Xenopus tropicalis: one gene and its partners. The protein of the gene in region 1 binds, or shares a complex with, the protein of each later gene. Links are inferred from orthologs where the notes say so. Each region holds a gene or a part of one and is shown on either strand. Other genes may lie near its edges. The genes, in order: ddx5, srsf1 and pa2g4.

The links.
Region 2: ddx5 (region 1) and srsf1 share a complex: the UniProt entries of both Homo sapiens proteins name them as parts of the ribonucleoprotein complex. The link is inferred for Xenopus tropicalis from reciprocal best matches to the Homo sapiens genes DDX5 and SRSF1.
Region 3: ddx5 (region 1) and pa2g4 share a complex: the UniProt entries of both Homo sapiens proteins name them as parts of the ribonucleoprotein complex. The link is inferred for Xenopus tropicalis from reciprocal best matches to the Homo sapiens genes DDX5 and PA2G4.

The regions. Positions count from the first base shown.
Region 1 is NC_030686.2:51,533,025-51,537,423, forward strand, and holds the start of ddx5 (probable ATP-dependent RNA helicase DDX5), read left to right. Parts: upstream 1-1,538; 5' UTR 1,539-1,556; coding exon 1,557-1,597; intron 1,598-4,180; coding exon 4,181-4,343; intron 4,344-4,399. UniProt on the Homo sapiens protein: Involved in the alternative regulation of pre-mRNA splicing; its RNA helicase activity is necessary for increasing tau exon 10 inclusion and occurs in a RBM4-dependent manner. Binds to the tau pre-mRNA in the stem-loop region downstream of exon 10.
Region 2 is NC_030678.2:76,103,593-76,107,920, reverse strand, and holds the start of srsf1 (serine/arginine-rich splicing factor 1), read right to left. Parts: upstream 2,839-4,328; 5' UTR 2,585-2,838; coding exon 2,391-2,584; intron 1,410-2,390; coding exon 1,168-1,409; intron 341-1,167; coding exon 168-340; intron 1-167. UniProt on the Homo sapiens protein: Plays a role in preventing exon skipping, ensuring the accuracy of splicing and regulating alternative splicing.
Region 3 is NC_030678.2:137,647,909-137,651,513, forward strand, and holds the end of pa2g4 (proliferation-associated protein 2G4), read right to left. Parts: intron 2,116-3,605; coding exon 1,988-2,115; intron 1,763-1,987; coding exon 1,709-1,762; intron 419-1,708; coding exon 365-418; 3' UTR 220-364; downstream 1-219. UniProt on the Homo sapiens protein: May play a role in a ERBB3-regulated signal transduction pathway. Seems be involved in growth regulation. Acts a corepressor of the androgen receptor (AR) and is regulated by the ERBB3 ligand neuregulin-1/heregulin (HRG).

The DNA of each region.
Region 1 (4,399 bases):
TGGCAGGACACAGTGGGGAGGAATGGCAGGGACACAGTGGGAGGAATTGGCAGGGACACAGTGGGGGAGGAATTGGCAGGGACACAGTGGGGAGGAAGTGGCAGGGACACAGTGGGGAGGAATTGCAGGGACACAGTGGGGAGGAAGTGGCAGGGACACAGTGGGGGAGAATTGGCAGGGACACAGTGGGGGAGGAAGTGGCAGGGACACAGTGGGGAGGAAGTGCAGGGACACAGTGGGGAGGAAGTGGCAGGGACACAGTGGGGAGGAATTGGCAGGGACAGAGTGGGGAAGGAATTGGCAGGGACACAGTGGGGGGAATTTGCAGGGACACAGTGGGGAGGAATTGGCAGGGACAGAGTGGGAAGAATTGGCAGGGACACAGTGGGGAGGGGAATTGGCAGGGACACAGTGGGGAGGAATTGGCAGGGGCACAGTGGGAGAAGTGGCAGGGACACAGTGGGGAGAGATTGGCAGGGGCACAGTGGGGGAGGAAGTGGCAGGGGACACAGTGGGGAGGAAGTGCAGGGACACAGTGGGGAGGAATTGGCAGGGACACAGTGGGGAGGAATTGGCAGGGCACAGTGGGGAGGAATTGGCAGGACACAGTGGGGAGGAAGTGGCAGGGACACAGTGGGGAGGAATTGGCAGGGCACAGTGGGGAGAAGTGGAGGGCAGGCAGTGGGGAGGAAGTGGCAGGGACACAGTGGGGAGGAAGTGGCAGGGACACAGTGGGGAGGAAGTGGCAGGGGCACAGTGGGGAGGAAGTGGCAGGGGCACAGTGGGGAGGAAGTGGCAGGGACACAGTGGGGAGGAATTGGCAGGGACACAGTGGGGAGGAAGTGGCAGGGACACAGTGGGGAGGAAGTGGCAGGGACACAGTGGGGAGGAAGTGGCAGGGACACAGTGGGGAGGAAGTGGCAGGGACACAGTGGGGAGGAATTGGCAGGGCTCCTCAGCAGTAGGAACAAAACCTTGAGCGGGAAGGCTCAAGCACTTACTAATGGGGACTGTATGTAGCCCGTATATGTATGAGGCAATATAGTTGTACCCATTGGGTGTGCCTGGCGGGGCTAATAAGGGAACACAGCCTTACTGGCCTTGCCTCATCCCACGCAACACACACTGACTAACATGAGCCACAGATAATAAAATTCCGGGAAAAGGCGCATTGCCGGTCACATGGTCACATCGCTTAGTCTCTGCCGCCATCTTTACTTTGGGCCGGTGTCCCGCTACCAGTACGTGGTCGATATCCCGCTACAAAAGCGGGAGCAGCCGCTGCCCCACGCTCACGGTTCAGTTTGCAATATCGTTGGGGCGGAAGCCAGGAAAAAGGTTAACACCGAGCGGCTGGTCGGTTTTTCTACTTGTTGGACAGGTTTCCCTGAAGCAATATGGCGGCGGTAGGTCAAGGCCCCGCCCCGCGGAGGAATATGGTGACGTCAGTTGCCGGCCGGCCTTATATAAGGTGTGTGCGCGCTGCGTGTTACTTCCCTTCCTGCCGAGCCCTCCCGTCTGTACAGCCGCTCCCGGAACGCCCTTTGTGTAACGCCATGCCCGGATTCAACGACAGGGACCGCGCCCGGGACAGGGGGTACGTACTCGGGGGTCTCCCCGTGAGGTGCCGGCAGCTTCTGGCAGAGGCCAGTGGGGAGTTTGTTTGGGCTTAATGTTTCCGCCCGATGGCGGCTGGTACGGTAGGTAGGCATTATGGGATGTGTGTGTGTGGGGGGCCCATGAGTAACGGGGCTTCCGAGCGATGGATTGTATTGTTCGGCTCCCGGGAGGCGGGGCTCGGCGAGACAAGATGGCGGAGGCACCAGTTGCGGCTCTTTGTCTCTGCACAAAATGGCGGCGGGGGGGGGAAGGGCTCTCCTTCTATTGCCTTGTCTGGCGCTTGTACTGCCCTCCGTACTTGTACTGCCCTCACTCCCTGCCGCCTCCCCGCCGCCTCACTCCCCTCTCCCCGGCCGCCTCACTCCCCTCTCCCCGGCCGCCTCACTCCCCTCTCCCCGGGGCCGCCTCACTCCCCTCTCCCCGGGGCCGCCTCACTCCCCTCTCCCCCGGGCCGCCTCACTCCCCTCTCCCCCGGGGCCGCCTCACTCCCCTCTCCCCCGGGGCCGCCTCACTCCCCTCTCCCCGGGGCCGCCTCACTCCCCTCTCCCTGCCGCTTTATTCTTTTATCTTCCTTTGTCGCTATTTATCCTGGCAGCTGTTTATCTACCCGGGTGTATTCCCCTGGTACTTCCCCCATAGCAACTGCCCTATTGTGTGGCATCTCTATCTGCCTGGGTATATTCCCATAGCAACTATCCTATTGTGTTGCACCTTCTTGTGCTATCTGCCTGGGTATATTCCTTTGGTACTGCTCCCATAGTACCTGCCCTATTGTGTGGCCTCTGTCTGCCTGGGTATATTCCCATAGCACCTGCCCTATTGTGTGGCCTCTGTCTGCCTGGGTATATTCCCATAGCAACTGCCCTATTGTGTGGCATCTGTCTGCCTGGGTATATTCCCATAGTACCTGCCCTATTGTGTGGCCTCTGTCTGCCTGGGTATATTCCCATAGCAACTGCCCTATTGTGTGGCATCTGTCTGCCTGGGTATATTCCCATAGTACCTGCCCTATTGTGTGGCATCTGTCTGCCTGGGTATATTCCCATAGTACCTGTCCTATTGTGTGGCATCTGTCTGCCTGGGTATATTCCCATAGTACCTGCCCTATTGTGTGGCATCTGTCTGCCTGGGTATATTCCCATAGTACCTGCCCTATTGTGTGGCATCTGTCTGCCTGGGTATATTCCCATAGTACCTGCCCTATTGTGTGGCATCTGTCTGCCTGGGTATATTCCCATAGTACCTGTCCTATTGTGTGGCATCTGTCTGCCTGGGTATATTCCCATAGTACCTGTCCTATTGTGTGGCATCTGTCTGCCTGGGTATATTCCCATAGTACCTGCCCTATTGTGTGGCATCTGTCTGCCTGGGTATATTCCCATAGTACCTGTCCTATTGTGTGGCATCTGTCTGCCTGGGTATATTCCCATAGTACCTGCCCTATTGTGTGGCATCTGTCTGCCTGGGTATATTCCCATAGTACCTGCCCTATTGTGTGGCACGCTGCTGGCATATCTGTGTAGTGTCCCCTGGGTATGATCAGTCTGCCTGTAACCAGGAACAAGGTGTACTTGCAGAATATCCCTGCTGGGTTTATAGACTCTCCTACAGTTGCCCCATGCTGGGGCAGAGCTCTCACCTAGCAGTACCTGCAGTCTGGGTGCAACTGCTCCTTGCACTGCTGATTAGGCAACCACTTGGCACCTCCCTCTGTCGGTTTATGTAACACTGGCACGGCATGCCCTCAGGGAACCTACTTGGCATATACCCAGCACAGTTCAGTGGCCATTTTGCATAGGCCTCTCTCCCCTGGGGTTCTGCGCAGTAATGGGAAGGAAGGTGATGCTTCTAACTTAAAAACAAATTATCATTTTCCTGATGGCTTTTCTGGGTCTGATTATGGGCCTAGTGAGGTGCCAGGATGGAATCCTGTAAAGGACCAGGACTGGCATTGGCTGCACTAAAAATAAATGCTTTTTTCTGGCAGTGCCCATTTGTTGTGCCTGCTCATGGAATAGCTGAGGGCCGCACCTCTGTTAAATATACTGCCTGCCAGATATGTGTTGCATCTGATCAGTGTGTGCTGTCTCTGCTCTAAAGCTGGCCACACGTGGTCGCACGAAAGATCGTTCCAACCCTCCACTGACGTTCAGGGCTGAATCGTCCGATAGAGGTAGAAACAATAGGATTTCTGCAGATTCAGCCGTGAAAATAGATTTTGCTCAGGTGTCTTTAATGGAGCCTCCTGCGATCTTGCCATACACGCACCGAATATAAACAAGGTTGGTGTGTGTATGGCCAACTTTACTCTGGGGCTGTCTGAGAGTTGGCTTTGGAGCCCAGGCTTCTCTTTGCCAATGGTGGGATCTCCCCCTAAAGCAGAGTAGTTTGTAGCTTCCTGTGTATTCTTAGTGACTGCATATGAATGGCCCCTTGCATATCGGAGAGCATTGTCCTGCTCTGCATGGCCATTGTCAGTAGGGCAGTACCAAGCCAGGAGTCTGCTTTGTCGCCCAGTTGGTTCTTATTGTTTGCATTGACCCTTTTGTCTTATATTCAGATTTGGAGGTGGTCCTCGCTTTGGGGGAAACCGAGGTGGTACATCTGGCAAATATGGAAACCCTGGGGAGCGGCTTATGAAGAAGAAATGGAACCTGGATGAACTGCCCAAATTTGAGAAGAATTTCTATCAAGAACATCCAGATGTTGTGAGACGGACACCGGTGAGTTTGCTGCCTGATTGGGATGAACCAGCTTGGCACTGGGTACCTCTCACAGC
Region 2 (4,328 bases), on another chromosome or scaffold:
GCAACTATAGTACATTATACAGAAAATTTAAAATTCCCATATCTTTTGGCACCTTATGTATTTGGCCAACATCACTATTGGCTTCAGAGGTCATGTAAAACAGATACTGCTAGTCACAATAGGTAGAGAAAAACTTAACACAAACTACTAAACAATTTAGTATTTACCTCATGAGACCTAAATTTAGTGTTATCCAGCTTCCGTACTGCATATGTCATATCTTCTTTCCTCACAAACTCCACAACTCCAGTACCATCTCGGAACACATCGGCATAACATACATCACCTGCTTCACGCATGTGATCCTTTAAATCCTGCCAGCTGCCACTTGGAGGCAACCCTAGAAATATAAAGTTATCAGAGTGTCAAATTTGGTATCAAAAGCAGTTTTATACATAATTAAAAGCATGCAAATGGTGGAAATTTAAAATGGTTTATGAACTTCTAGTGCCAAAATTCCAAGAGTAGGTATCTATGCTGGTTATACAGCAATGCATGGAGCATTAAAACAGTCCAAAGACAGCTGTATTGCTTAAATGAACACAGCATCCTGGGGAAAACCCATTGTTTTAATCTGAACCATGCTTCCAGCGAGACTCACAACAGCCCAATTCTGCTAAAATAACTCAGGGGTTTACATTTAGTACGTTTTAAAGGTAAATTTGTTGCAGTGCTTCATGTTTGAACTGAAGGTAACATAGCAACATGTGCAAGTTTTCATAGTCCAGATAGCATCCTGAGCAACCAGACAGGGCCATTTAATATCTTGTTTGAAGACAATACCCTATCCTTCCCTTTTCTTGTGACTGCATGGTTTGAAGTCCATTATGCAGGAGAATTGTGTGTGAACTGTAATACAATTATCTACCTTGCAAGGACCAAGCAGAGAGTTGCTTAAGTTCTGTTAAGCTGATGCAAGCCGTTAACTGAACTAAAGTTAAAGGGAGATATACTAGTAGTTCTGTTTGTATACATTAATGGTCAGTCATATCCACTGGTATAGAATGCATAATACTTTAGAATGTATGCATAACTGTGTCCAACTCATTATTGTATACATGTGAAATAACGCTGCTTGTAAAAACCTGATGGGCATTATTCCTCTAAAACTTTGCAACTGATGTTTTTACTTTGGTTTTTAAACCTGCCACCTGATAGAACTCTTACCTGACACAACCACTCTGTATTCTGAACGTCTTGATGGAGGTCCATATCTCCCTCGGGGAGCTCCTCCTCCGCCGCCACCACCACCACCGCCGCCGCCGCCTCCACCACCTCCTCCTCCGCCGCCGCCACCACCACCACCACCTCTGCCTCCAGCTCCTCGCCCACTTCTTGGAAACTCAACACGCAAGCGATAGCCATCATAATCATAGCCATCTCTACCATAGACAGCATCTTCTGCATCCCTAAGAGAAACCAAGGTAAGAATTGCTTTAGTTAAAGAATGCCAGGTTAAGAAGAGAATATTCACCTACAATGGTAATTACATATCCTGGAAAACTTTCTTGGCTGTAAATGAGAAAACTTTATTACAGTCATGTATAGAGCTACAAACGACACATGACCCCAGATTAATTCTGTGTAAGCAAGCCATTGTATCTTAACAGTCTTTTAGACATGAATGGCTGCCCCCATGACTACACAAAAGCTTTTGTATTTACATTTAAACAGTACATTTTCACCAATACTTTACATATGTGCATATAGTGCAGATGCTTAAACACCCATTATTCATTTTGTAGTGTTGCTATTGAATATCAATACTGCACTTCTCCAAGCAGCCTACATAAAAGGTGTTAGGAGTTCTGGTTGAATAAGTGCAGTGAGCCTAATTGCATGCTTTATAGCAGAGACATGAGGCAGCGGCTTTAAAGCAAACAGGTCAATAAATAACCCAAAGCACATTTGCTTGTTAGAATGCCTTCCCTTAACACACTAGTAAGCATGGTGCAGGGCTGCAGAACAAAGAGCGGAAGCGCTATTCGGTCCCACACACAGGGGGCGCTGTTGCCTAAAGGCGGTAATAAATAGGGATTTACACGTGCTAATGGCGATACACAATGAGTGTATAATACCTCATTCTGGCGCCACTCTGTAGGGATTATAGGCTAAATATATTAACTTGAATAATGATACAACGCACCGATGTTGAAACATAACCTGCACCATAATCAGGCCTAATTCCCCCCCTCACTGGCCTCCTCGACTATATATAAACTCTAATACAACAGCGGACGACATTTTATCAACTACAGCAGAAATAAAGTCGCAGTACCACCACCCCGCCCCCGGATACACTCAAGGTATATTGTAGTTATTCACCAGTTAACACTAGGCGAGCCCATTAGCACGATAGGCCAAAGCAAAAACATTTACACAGGGATTACCTTGGATCTTCGAATTCCACAAAGGCGAATGGCGGGCCCCCTCTGCGGTTCTTTAGGTCTATGTCCCGAATGGCCCCATACTTGTAGAAAACGTCCTCAATGTCCTTGGTGCGGATGTCTGGCGGCAGATTGCCAACATAGATACGGCAATCGTTGTTACCCGCCGGCCCCCTAATCACGCCGCCCCCTGACATATCCAGCTTGATGGATTTAAAGGGAGACGGATTGAGAAGAAAAAGAAATGGAGTTGGAAGCCAAACAGACCTTCGATGCGCGCTTCAGAGCTTGGACAAGATGGCGGAGTTACTTCCTCCCTTGCTTTAGCCGCGCAAGGATACTAAGAACTCGCAGTGGTGCGTCCTCAACAAAGGTAATCTTACGCCGAGACAATATAGAGCCTCTCGTTTCCACGTCTTCACGATGCAATGTTCCTAAAGCTATGTGCCAATTACGGCCCTAAGAAAGAATCTATTCACTGAGGTAATATTTATACTAGAAACCTGAGCTCAAGCTGCTTCTCTGTATGTGATAGGGGGGCTTTCTATACCCTGTGCTTGACGTCACGTCCGTCCAGGAAATGCGCGCCCATAGTGGGGGAGGGCAGTGGGTGTTGTTTGAAAAATGTTTTGTTACTCGTCGTGCGCCATGGCTGTTGTTAGGTGGTTTTGTATTATAGAACCATGGTCGGAGGCTGTTAGCTCTTTATCTGCAGTGACATTCATTATGAGTATGAAAATCATTAACTACAGGTGTGCTCTCAATGGTTTCCGCAATAAAACTTTTAAAAGGGTTTTACCCTTGTTTGTAGTCCTGAGTGCCAATTGCTTTTTTTGTTGTTACAGTGTATTTGGAGGGTGCCGATCCCTCTAGCAGTGTGCACCGTACAAAATTTTTTTTGGAGTGTTAGGGTGTGCGGATAAGGTCTCTGTGGTCCACTCTCAATGGTTTCCCCATTAAAGTAGCACTGCAATTCAATACTTTGTAACTGCTGTCAGGGTAATATTGCAAACAAGGTTGGGAAGACTTTGTCCTATTTATTATTATTAACATTTATTTATAAAGCGCCAACATATTCTGCAGCGCTGTACAATAAAAGGGTTTTATACATTGGACATACAGAGTAGCATATAAAGCAATCAATAACCGATACAAGAGGTGAAGAGGGCCCTGCCCAAAAGAGCTTACACTCTACAAATATTTATGTGTTGATAATAAATACATGCCTTACATTACACTCCTGTTTGGGCCTTGTGCATATTTGTTTGTTTTATTTTAGTCGAGCTTAGATTGGGCAGTGAAATTGTAAGCTCTATGGGGCAGGGACCTCCTTCCTACTCTCTCACACCACATGGCGCTCAATCTGTGTATTTATACTTCTTGTATTTATTATAACAGTTGTCCTCCCTGTGTGTAATTGTGTATATTGTAAGATTGTATAGCGCTGTGTACCCTTCTAACGCTTTATAAATAAAGTTATACGTACATTTATATATTGCCCAGCGCTTTACAGAGTAGGGAGTGCAACCCTGGGCTGAAGTGGAAAAGCACTTCAAAAAGTGCAAAAGTATTTAAGAAACTGATGCTGGAATGTAAAAAAAATCCATAACAGAAAAATACTCGAAAATGTATGCCTTTTAGCAAACAAAAATTTCTTTGAACAAATTTAATATAGCTTTTGAGAGGTCACTTCCGACAGTGGAACAAAGGGGGCAAGGGGTACTGTCATGAATAGGTGTGCAAGTTGATGCTTCCCCCCACATCGGTATTGTAGAGAGAGAAATAGCGCTCAGAATTTCATCTCTTTAAAGAAAAACTATACCCCCAGAATGAATACTTAACCAACAGATAGTTTATATTATGCAGAGTGACCTATTAAAGAATCTCGCCAAACTGGAATATATATATATATATATATATATATATATATATCAGTAAATA
Region 3 (3,605 bases), on another chromosome or scaffold:
CCGTTTCTGTGTAACAATATCTGTATAGAAAGAGGGGCTGAAAGACTGCTTTGATGCCTGCTTTTATTTTTCTTTTGTTTTATCGTTTATATATATATATACTTTTGGTTTAGTCTGAAGAGAATTCCAAAATATGTCTTTAAATGTCCAAGTTTGCATCCAAAGAGAAAGTGGGGCTCCCACATCCAAACGCACACTTGGCTGCCCGGACTGCACATGTTTTTTAAATTTTTTTTTTATTTTTTTCTTTGTTTCAATTCATTTCAATTGTCAGGATAAAGAAGGGAGAGAGGCAAAAATAACGCAAGTACTAAAAATATTAACTGGCAGGTCAAAGTCAGACACCTCAGAGAAAAGCCTCTGTTCACTCTGTGCCTTCATTTTCTTCAGCAGTGGCATTTTCAGCATTTTTTGACGCCTGCAATATACAAAAATGAGTTAAACAAAACTGCATTCATTTTGCATAATCTACAAAAATCGGAAAAAAAACACTTTTGGTAAAGCATTCTCTCCTGACTTCCTTTGATTCAGAACTGGCACCTGGTAGGTGCTACTTGGCCATACAAGTAGATGGCCAAACCAGGCAGATAATGCAAAAATTCACCTATGCATGGCTGCCTATCATTTTTCTCATTTAAAGGGGTTGTTCACCTTTCAGTTAACTTTTAATATGATTTAGAGGGTAATATTCAGAGACAATTTGCAATTGGTCTTAATTTATTTTTATTAGTTGTTCTATTTTTGTTTGACAGCTCTCCAGTTTGGAGTTTCAGCATCTATCTGGTTGCTAGGGTCCAAATTACCTTAGCAACCAGGGAGTGATATGAATCAGAATCTGGTATATTAATAGGAGAGGACTTGAATAGAAAAATAAGTAATAAAAAGTAACAATAAAACTGTAGCCTTAAAGAGCAATAGTTTTTTGCCTGCTGGGCCCCATTTGAAAGCTGCAAAAAGTTAAAAGGCAGCAAATAATTCAAAACCTAATAAAAAAAAAAATTAAGACCAACTGGAAAGTTGCTTAGAACTGCCCATTTTACATTATACTAAAAGTTAACTTAAAGGGGAACCACCCCTTTAATGGTACAATTAACTACATAGTACAGATGAGCACTCTCATCCTAAATGACAACTACACATTCCCACCTTCTCACAAACAACCCAACCAACATGGAGATTCCTTAGATTGTGTATGCTTTAAATGGTCTAAAATCCCTAAAATTAACAATTGTAATATAGAAACAACCAGACAATGATTTTCTATTAAAGGAGAAGGAAAGGCTACGTTACTTGGGGGTGCCAAAATGTTGGGCTGGTGCTGTTTTCTCCTAACAGGGGCACCAGCCCGTGGGAAAAGGTAAGCTATTAAAGTCGCTTGGGGGCGCCTAACATTTTTAAACAATACATCTGCCCAGTTTTGCTTAGGTTGAACTGTTTAAGCTTATGGAGTTAAATGTGTAAAAAACGTCGAGAAAATTTGCCACACATCGCTGTGTAAAAAACCGCGTAGTTTTTTTTACGCGTTTCTCTTCCGCTGGAACGAATGTAAAATAGCGGCGTAAAATCTGGCATTAGGACGTCGATCTTCTCTGTTTACACAGCTTTTTCAGCAAATTTGTTTTACACAGCTTAATATATATGCCCCTAAGTCTCCTGCGCTTGTATAATTCATGGCAAAGAAGTGCAGTCCTGAAAGCAAAGACAATACCTTCTTTTTCTTCTTTTTCTGGGTTTTCCGACTTGCTGAACTTTGCAGAAGTGCCTGTAAGCAATACCAGTAATTTCATATTAGATCTACGTTTTGTGGATATGTTTTTATAAATAAGACATTTCTTCGTTAATAAAAAAAAGATAACAAATAACCTCTATGGAATCACTGCATTTTGCGTACAGAAAGCACTATCAGTTAAATGATCCTGTCCCAGAGGTTTTACTGCAAAAATGTCAAATCAACAGTAAATATATAAAGTGATAAAGTCTCACCCACCTTCAACTCGGAATCTTGCACCTCAAGCTCAGATTTGTACATATCAGGTTCAAAGGGGCCGCTAGTTATCCTCATAGGACCATTGGGCATTAAGAGAACAGTGAACTTGAACTGAGCTACAAATTCGCCTAGGATTAAAAAAACAAAAAAAACATTGCAAGTTAAAACAAGCAATGCTTTAACTGTGTTATTCCAGAAAAATTATCTAAAGATATCAGTGTTACAATATAAATATTAAAACACACACACCATACAAAAAGTTTCTCATTCTAAACTTAAAAAATACACCATAAAAATCATGACAGAATCCCTTCATATCTAAATTACACAGCTTACTTTCAAATAATGCACCGTTTTTTAGTCGTAATATTGGTGCCATCTCAGTGCATTGTGCCGGAGTCTGAGCTTTCAGAAGGAGCCAGCGCTACACATTAGAACTGCTTTCAGGTAGCCTACTGTTTTTCCTAATCAACATACTGTCAATACAACCCAAGCTGCAAAATAAGAAAACAGAGTTTCGGTGCTATACTTAAGTCTTCCACTAGGTGGGCAAGTGAACTTGTTTAGCAATGCAAACAATTTCTGATGTAATTTAATCTCTATCATGCTAAAATCTTCTATAGCCTTCAGGAAAACTGCTTTGGAAGGGAAATGGGTCTAGGGTGTCAAAAATCATTGCCTCTCTTTGCATTTTATGTATTTGGGGCTTAAGTTCCCACTGCATGTAATGTATTTGTGATGCCACTACCCAGTGTCTCACTTTATTTAATGTATTTTGGGTGCCACTACTTCTGCCCCACTATATAATGCATTTAGGATCTGGAGTTATTATTTTCAGAAGTCAATATATCATTTTTTACATTTATGTTCATATTGTGTGTATATTTTATATACATCTCTATATTCTTTACTGTACAAAGCTAATTGAGACTAATGACACACGTCACTGTATTTTAGCTGGCAGAGAAATGACTGAAGTCACCCTAAATTACTGGGAGGGCAGTTTTGCCTTTTTACTCACTTGATAACATTTCAGATCACCAGCAGTGCTACTAGCCAATGGAGCTCCTAACAGTTCTGGCAGCTGAAAAGTGTGACTGAAGTGAATCTGTTTGCGCTTTTAAAAAATGGACTTCAGTTTGCATTTATTTGGACTTTTTTTTTTATTTAGTAAAATATAAATACAGGTATGGGATCTCTTTAACAGAAACCCATTATCTAGAAAGTAAATTATGGACAAGACATCTCCGTTACAGTCCATTATAAAAAAAACATAATAACAATAATACAGGACTCTTGATGGTAAGTAAGATGAATGGATCCATATTGGTAATAAAACAATTCTATTGGGTTTATTCACTGTTCCAATAATTTTTAGCAGACTTAAGGTATACCGATCCATATTACATGGTGATGCTATACCTATGCTGTATTTTTGTTCACATCTTGCTTTCTTTTTATGACTGTTCTGATGATTGATCTTAAAGTTTTAAAGTCTTGTTCGTATCATTGTTATTTTTAGATTGAAAGGAACACAACCTTCAATATCCTTTCCATTAGGTCCATTTCCATTAAGCAAGGGGCATTGCCTGTCACTAGGAATGTAATCAACTAAGTA